Linked DNA regions of Caenorhabditis elegans. The protein of the gene in region 2 purifies or fractionates together with the protein of the main gene of each other region. This does not show direct contact. Each region holds a gene or a part of one and is shown on either strand. Other genes may lie near its edges. The genes, in order: mtcu-1 and perm-4.

Evidence for each region.
Region 1: the proteins of perm-4 (region 2) and mtcu-1 fractionate together in Caenorhabditis elegans (co-fractionation; one large-scale study listed by BioGRID). This does not show direct contact.

Annotation. Positions count from the first base shown.
Region 1 is NC_003279.8:14,773,226-14,777,149, forward strand, and holds the start of mtcu-1 (TrmE-type G domain-containing protein), read right to left. Parts: upstream 1,783-3,924; 5' UTR 1,772-1,782; coding exon 1,705-1,771; intron 1,506-1,704; coding exon 1,238-1,505; intron 713-1,237; coding exon 581-712; intron 1-580. Other genes in the region: F39B2.5 (SH2 domain-containing protein), read right to left, coding at 2,030-2,317, 3,022-3,140, 3,189-3,313, 3,366-3,412.
Region 2 is NC_003282.8:1,123,345-1,127,268, forward strand, and holds the start of perm-4 (PERMeable eggshell), read right to left. Parts: upstream 1,764-3,924; 5' UTR 1,742-1,763; coding exon 1,685-1,741; intron 1,628-1,684; coding exon 1,480-1,627; intron 320-1,479; coding exon 1-319. Other genes in the region: perm-2 (uncharacterized protein), read left to right, coding at 3,457-3,540.

The DNA.
Region 1 (3,924 bases), on a different chromosome or scaffold from region 2:
TTCCAGCAATTTGCCGATTTGCCGGAAATTTCAATTCCAGCAATTTGCCGATTTGTCGGAAATTTCAATTCCAGCAATTTGCCGATTTGCCGGAAATTTCAATTCCAGCAATTTGCCGATTTGCCGGAAATTTCAATTCCAGCAATTTGCCGATTTGCCGGAAATTTCAATTCCAGCAATTTGCCGATTTGCCGGAAATTTCAATTCCAGCAATTTGCCGATTTGCCGGAAATTTCAATTCCAGCAATTTGCCGATTTGCCGGAAATTTCAATTCCAGCAATTTGCCGATTTGCCGGAAATTTCAATTCCAGCAATTTTCTGATTCGCCGGAAGTTTTCAATACCGACAAATTGTCGATTTGCCGGACATTTCTATTCCGGCAATTTGAAAAAATGTATTATTGAAAAGCTCGTACGATATCATAAGTTTTAATGAAATTTTTAAAAATCCCTATAAATCTTTTTTTTTCCTTTTTTTTTTAAGTTTTTTTTTCCAAAAATTCCAAATCTCGAGGGATTTTTTTGTTTTTTCAAATTGCTTGCGAACAATATAAAATTCCAATTTTTCTCACTTCAATACCTTATTTCAATAGCTCGAACTCCACCACGCATTTGACCAAATGCCGCATTTCGTTCTTTTTCGGTTCGAGATTTAATTAGCCGATCGATTCCTCGAACCTCGGAAATGCTCAATTTTCCGTTGTGAAATGCTCTGTAAATTAACTAAGAGTTATTATAGAGACCCAAAATGTGCATTTAAATGCATTCAAAATATTTTGAAACAGATGTGCAAGCGCGCTCAACTGCGGAAAGTTTGGAATTTTTATTCGGCGGCAAAACCAAAAACTCTAATGTTATTTTGTTTTCATGGTTAAATGAAAAATTAAAGCACTTTTGGACATTTTTTCAACATAAAATTAATTAATAAACGACAGGAAACATAACAAAAATAACGAAAACTTATTGAAAACGTTCGAAATTACGGTTTTGCAGCAGCCAAAACCTAGCGAGACCCAACTTTTAGCCGTGGAGCGCGTTTTAACCAGGGGTGGACGGCAAACAATTTTTCCGGCAAATTGGCAAATCGGCAAATCAGCAAATTGTCGGAATTGAAATTTCCGGCAAATCGGCAAATTGCCGGAATCGCCGAATTTGTCGAAAAAAATTTGCCGAACGGCAATTGCTGCCCATCCCTGGTTTGAACCCCGATTTTTGAAAATCGTATGCTAATAATAACCTCCTCGTGAATTCTCCTCGCTTCGCTTCTCGAACATTTTGAATTCCAGCCAAACATGAGGCAAACTTCACGGCCACGGCCTGACTTCCATGTAGAAAAAACTCGGCTGTGTCTTCTCCGGTAAACGTTTTCGGGCCGGGAAGATATACCGCCATTGCTTCATCGATGATTTTGCTCTCTGAATCGTACAATTTCGTGTATTTCATCGTTTTCGGCTTCCAAACTTTTCGACGGCTCAGCTGGCGGAGTACGGGGAGGCTTTGTGATCCTGGAAAAAATACTGTGAATACTGTGAACAGTAAGCTCAGAAAGCCTTTTTTTGGGGGGGGGGGGGGTTTCGCAAGAGCATCGTACGAATTTTTTCAGAGATTTTTATATTGTTTATGGCTATTTTGGCAGAAATTTTTTCAAAATGAACCATTCGTAACCTAATGGAATTTTTTTTTTCAATTGTTCTGAAAATTAACCTGAAACGCGGAACATCGCAATTGCGCTTGGCAATGTGCCAGACGATAGGGCGAAGATTGTCGACATTTTCTAAATGCCTGAAAAAATTATTCTTTTCCAATTAAAAAAAAATTTGATTACTCGAAAGGTTCTTTTTTTTAATTTCAAAATTTTCACGATCTTAAAAAAATGTTTGAAAATTTAATAAAAAACAGGATCCGTGACAATTTTTCTGGAAAGAAACCGAGATTTTATGAATATATAACTTAAATTTGAGAGAAAAAAGTTATTTATTAAGCATTCAAAAAAAACCCCGTAATTCGATATAATTCAAAACTAAAACAATTAATTATTAATTACACAAAATCTTAATTTCAATTGCTCTTCACATTTCTTCAAATCAGGAATAATCCATTTCGAATCACTCAAATACTTTAAAATCGTTGGTGGCAGAGGAGCTGTTTTGGGTGTCGGTGGTTTTTGTTGACTCGTTTTCAGGGTAAATCGACAGAGGTACTGTAGTGATGGTAGAAGCTCTCGTTTTGTGAGTGGACGTGTTAAATTGACACGCGCTGCTTCGGCTTCATGTCCACGTCGATAGTGGAGCATTTCTTGTTGTCCTGTTAGGGATTGCTGAAAAAAGTTTAGTGTTTTTTTCCGAAAAACTACGATTTTTTTTGATTTTTGAAACATTAAATTATTTTTTTGCTTGAAAAACTCAGTTTTTTTCGGATTTTTGAAAAAAAAACTAATTTCTGAAAAAACTGAACTATTTTCTTTCGGGAATGTGGTTTTTTTTGTGAACAAAAATGGTGATTTTTTAATTTTTTTCTGCAAAAAAGTGAATTTTTTTTAGAACAATCGATTATTTTTCTCGTGATTTTTTTTTGGTTTTTCGAAAAAAAAAGGATTTTTTCTCGATTTTATGAAAAAAAATGGTTGTATTGTGTTTGATTTGTTTTTCAATTTTAATTTTTAAAATTATGTTCCGAAAAATTTTTTTTTGATTAATACTCTTTTTTAATTTCTAATTTTGAGAAAAAAAGGACATACTTTCGGAAAATTTGAATTTTTTTAGTTTTCGAATTTTTTAAAAAGAAAAATAATTATTTTCACTTAAAAAAAATAGTTTTTTTCCGTTTTTCGGAAAAATAATTTGCTTTTAAAAAAATATATTTTCGATTTCCGGAAACATTTTGGGAAAATTTCGATTTTTTTTAACTCTTCGAAAAATATTTTCGACCTTTTTGGCCTGTCACAATTTTTTTTTAAAGTTTTACTCTTTTCCGATTTTTTTAAAATCAAAAATCATAGATATTTTTAAATGTACTACATACCTCTAAACTTCTCTCAATAATTTCCACAAGATTCCAATAGTCACGTGAGACGTATGGCTGCCGACTACCCAAATTCCGTCGTGAATCTTCAAGTGACAAGCGCGAATGATAGACTCTATCTGAAATTATATTTATTTGGAAAAAATTGATTTTTTGAAAAACAATACCTTGAAAATGATAAGAAACAGTGAAAAGATGAGTTTCACTTCGACTGTCTCGAATTAAAAAATATCCGATTGGGCACAAAAGGAGCAGCCGTTCTGCCCATTTCCAGTCCAAATCTCCCCAATACCTGGAATAAAATAGGCATATTTAAATCTTTTTTCAGTTATTTTATTGTTTACCAATCACAATCGTAAAGATCAGAACAAATCACCTTGTTGGAGGGCATAGGAGCATTGAAGGAAACTTTTGTTACTGAAAATAGTTTCAATCTTAACAAAATTAATTGAATTTTAAAATTGAAGATTGTCGATTTACGGAAGTCGTGTACTCCACGAGGAGAAGATTATGATCCGATTCTTTCCGAATTTAATGTTCAAATCGCAATTATATCTCTTTTTCAAAAAACCGTCGCTGTTTCCAGGCGTGGGCGCCATATATTATTAAATCAGCAATTATTTTGCATGAAAATGGAAATTCCCGGCAAATCGGCAAATTGCCGTAATTGAAAGATTCCGGCATATCGGCCAATCGACAAATTTGTTTGAATTTAAAAAAGAAGCCAAAATCCAAAATTTAAGCAAAACATGCAATTTTGACCAAAACCATTGATTTTTCACTTATCCTCGGGGAGTACACGAGCTGCGTAAATCGACATTGTACAGTGTTAGGGGTCGAGATATTGAAAGATTTTTAATCTTTAAATTGAAAAAAAGATTGAAAAAGAATAAGAAAAATAAA
Region 2 (3,924 bases):
TCAGAATCCGAATCATTATCATCATCATCATCAGCTCCTCTCTTGGATCTCTTGAATGTCTCATCATCATCATCCTTGGTAATAGCCAAGAATCCGAAGAGTTGATCGTTGGGAAGGGAAGTGTCACGACGGGCGGTCTGTTGGCAGCAGAAGTTACAGGAATCTTCATCATGGGTAGCAACTTCGGAGCACTTTACACGAACGGCACGATTAGCTGGGACGGATGGGGCTCCACCGTAGTATGGCTGTGGGTGGCGATGATGGCGGCGGACAGAGTCGACGACGAGGAGCACGGAGGCGTCGAGGTCGCATACGAAGCCTGTAAATATTTTTCATCTTAAAATTCAAAATTTCAGCTTCAATTTAACTTAAAAACTGATAAAATATCTCAAAAACTGGAAAAGTTGTAGATTTTCGAAAATTTTAGAAAAAAACCATTTTAGTTAATTTGACAAAAAAAATTCCTGACTCAAATCAGTTTGTTCTACAGAATTTTAAAAAATTGGCTCTAATTTTACAATAAATTCAATAAAAAATCTCGAAAACTAAAAAAGTTATGAATTTTCGAAAATGTTCAAAAATCTATTATATAACTTTCTCAATTTTCGAGATATTGGGATGGTTTTTGTGGTATTTTGAGGGTAAATTTTTGAATTTTCAAGAAAAATTAGTTTTCGATAAAAATTGTCGAAAAAATTTAATAGCAATAAAATTTGACTCTTCCAAAAAAAAAAGTCCAAAATTTCAAAAATTTTTGAAAATCTATAACTTTCTCAATTTTTGAGATTTTGGGATGGTTTTTGTGTCATTTTAAGGGTAAATTTTTGAATTTTGTATAAAAAATAATGGAAGCTATCGTAACCTAGGAAAAGTGTGTTTTCTACCGAATTTCAATTTCTTTCAAAATATAAAATTTAAGCTTCAATTTGGCATTAAACTCAATGAAATTTTTTGAAAATTGTAGCTTTTTTGAAATTCTGCACCAACTAGATTAAATTTAATCTAAATAAATACTACAGTAACGCAGTTAATTTTGCCAAAAAATTTAAAAAAAATTAATCTTTAATTTGACATAAAAATCAAACAATTATCTCAAAAACTGGAAAAGTTACAGGTTTTCAAACATTTTCAAAAATTCTAATTCTGATAAATTGGCCTAAGTTCTACAGATTTTTTGAAAAAAAAAAACAGTATTTTTGCAACAAAATTTGAAGAACTAGCTTAATTTTGATTTAAAAATTATTGAAAAATCTCGAAAACTGAGAAATTTATGAATTTTTCAAAATTTTTCGAAAATTTGAAAATTGACAAAACTACCTATGAATAAGTCAATTTTTTGATGATTCCCAAAAAATGTTACATTTTTGAAATAAGTTGGCTATTGCGGTTCAAACAAGTATAATCATAACTAGGTCTACGCAAATGCGCTCTATTGCCAAATTACTATAGCTCTTAAAATTTGAATTTTCACGAACTCACGATCTTGAATAAGTGGCTGCCAGTATCCTGGTCCGAATGCTGGGTATCCATATCCTCCTCCATTTCCATAACCTCCTCCTCCATACGATGGACGACCGCCGTAGCGACCAGCAGCGGCCTCTGACTTGACCTCTTCGGTGGGTGTTGGCTGCAGAAAATGTTTCAGATTATCCTAAAATTGCGGAAATCCAAAAAAACCATATACCTTTGCACCGAGGACGGCGGCCAGCGAGGCGACTGTGAGAAGAAGAACGGTTTTCATTTCTGAAAAGCGATCGAATGATGGATTTGTCGGCGGAGCCATGCTTTTATAGTTCGGGGGGAACATGGGATGGGCTCCGCCTACAGAAAAAAAAATCAAGAGGAAAAGCTTGAGGAAGATGAAAGTAGAAATGTCTGAGTTGATGGAACGGGGAAAAAAGAGGAAACATTGAAAAGATGATCGATAGATTTGCACCATATCTCGGCTAATTTTCAAGATATCAAAAAAATTGTAACTAGACAGTTATAGAAAAAGTAATAATAAATAACTTGCCAGTTGATAATTTTTTGATAAAACCAAAGGCTACGAAGATATGAACTGTTAAAGTTGATCAGTAAATTTTTCATCGATGCACCAAAAAGAAGGGAATCTGAAGCATAAATAATGCATGTAAAACCTACTGCCAAAATTTTACAATAAAACTACTCTCAATGCACCATAATCAGCATTTTTGTTCAGCAGCTCGTATCCCTCTTATGTATTTTTATAAATATCAATTTATTACAAAACTTTGTAAAACTATGTAATGCATATTTTACGTGTTTGCAATTTGCTCATTGATATGTAAATTGTTGAAATTTTATTGGCAAATCCATAGAGAAATCCATTAGGAACACTATAAATCACTCCAAAGCTTTCAATTCACAAGGAAAGGAAGTCAATCTAGTCCCGGACTTTGAATCAGGACATATGCCTTTGAAAGCTTATGTTTAGACTAGATCACCAAAAAAATTTCAGCGGCGGAACTCAACTCTGAACCCCTGAAAGCGCCATCTGAAAGTGCTCCAGTGCATTTTTTTGCTGAATTCTAGGTCAAGTAAATGGCCTTAAAAGTGGCTAGAGCGGTTAAAAATTGTTTTTGGGGGTCTTTAGGGTCAAACAAACAGTGTGGAAGCTTTTTGGAAATTTTTATTTTTTTCCAAAAATCTGAAATTTTTGCGGTGATCTAGGCTAACCATAAGCTTTCAAATGACATACGTCTCGATTCGAAGTCCGGGACTAGATTAACTTACTTTCCTTGTCAGACAAATTTTTCACATAATACGTTAATTATCTATTTCATGCCCAAATTCCAGGTATTTGCACATTTCTCCATTCTCATTCAATTGCACTTTCACCCATCACGAGTTGCTCCATATGAAATCATCTGAAATGTCTGAAATTCCAAGCCCACTCAATCATCCCATTTCTCATATAACATGTTGCAATCAGGTGGGCGGCGGCTGCGGCCGGCAGGAAAAAGAGCCCAGCGGAATGTGTGATGGATTGAGCAGCGAAGAAAAAAGAAAATGGAAAAGCTGAAAAAAATAGTCGGTCGAAAAAAAAGTGACCTAAGGATGTGTTGCAACATGTGTCTGAGATCCAGCGGGGTTCAAAGAACTAATTTGTGTATCTTTTAGCAAAGTGTATTTTGAGAAAATCAACACATTTTGAACTAGAACACTGTAGAAAAACTGTTAAGGAACATTTTTCCAGTTGATCAAGTCCGAGTGATTCACCATGTATTGGAGCCTTTTGACTTGTTGGCTCAGTTACCACAGCTGTGAGATTTAATTCCAGGTTCCGTAGCAAACATTTTTGCGCTCCAAACCTTTTTGTTTTTTATCCAACGCCTAACGTTTTCCCCTCAAACTACAATGCCGAGTTCCCGCCTCCATATCTCTGGCGGATCTCAAGTATAAAAGCGGCGAAGCATCTTGGCTCCGATCATCATCATGTTTTCCACCACTTGGATCGTCGCGTCTCTGGCACTTTGCGCCGCTGTCACCTGCGCTGTGAGCACCGAGGCTCCTGAGAAGGTAAGCGTTACTGTTGGTTCTGTTGGAACTAGGAAAAACGGACTGTAAGGTTACTGTAGCTTGATAGATAACTTGATTTAGACACGTTAAAAAGTAAAGCTGTTATAGATATTTGACTAAATCTTGATGTATTGTCAGTAGGTATAATTAGTTGTATTCAAGTTATTAAGATTAGGTTTATTCCGTATCACGTGTGCATTAGTATGTATCACGTAAGGGTTACCTATACTATATTGTGATATCCTAAATAGTAAGTCTAAATAAGATTACTTGCTAAGGTGTAACTTGAATCGGACAGAAAATTTAGAGGTAATAAGATTTCTTGATGAAATGCTATGTTGATTAAGCGTAGATATATTTAATAGAATTCAACTTATTAGGAAG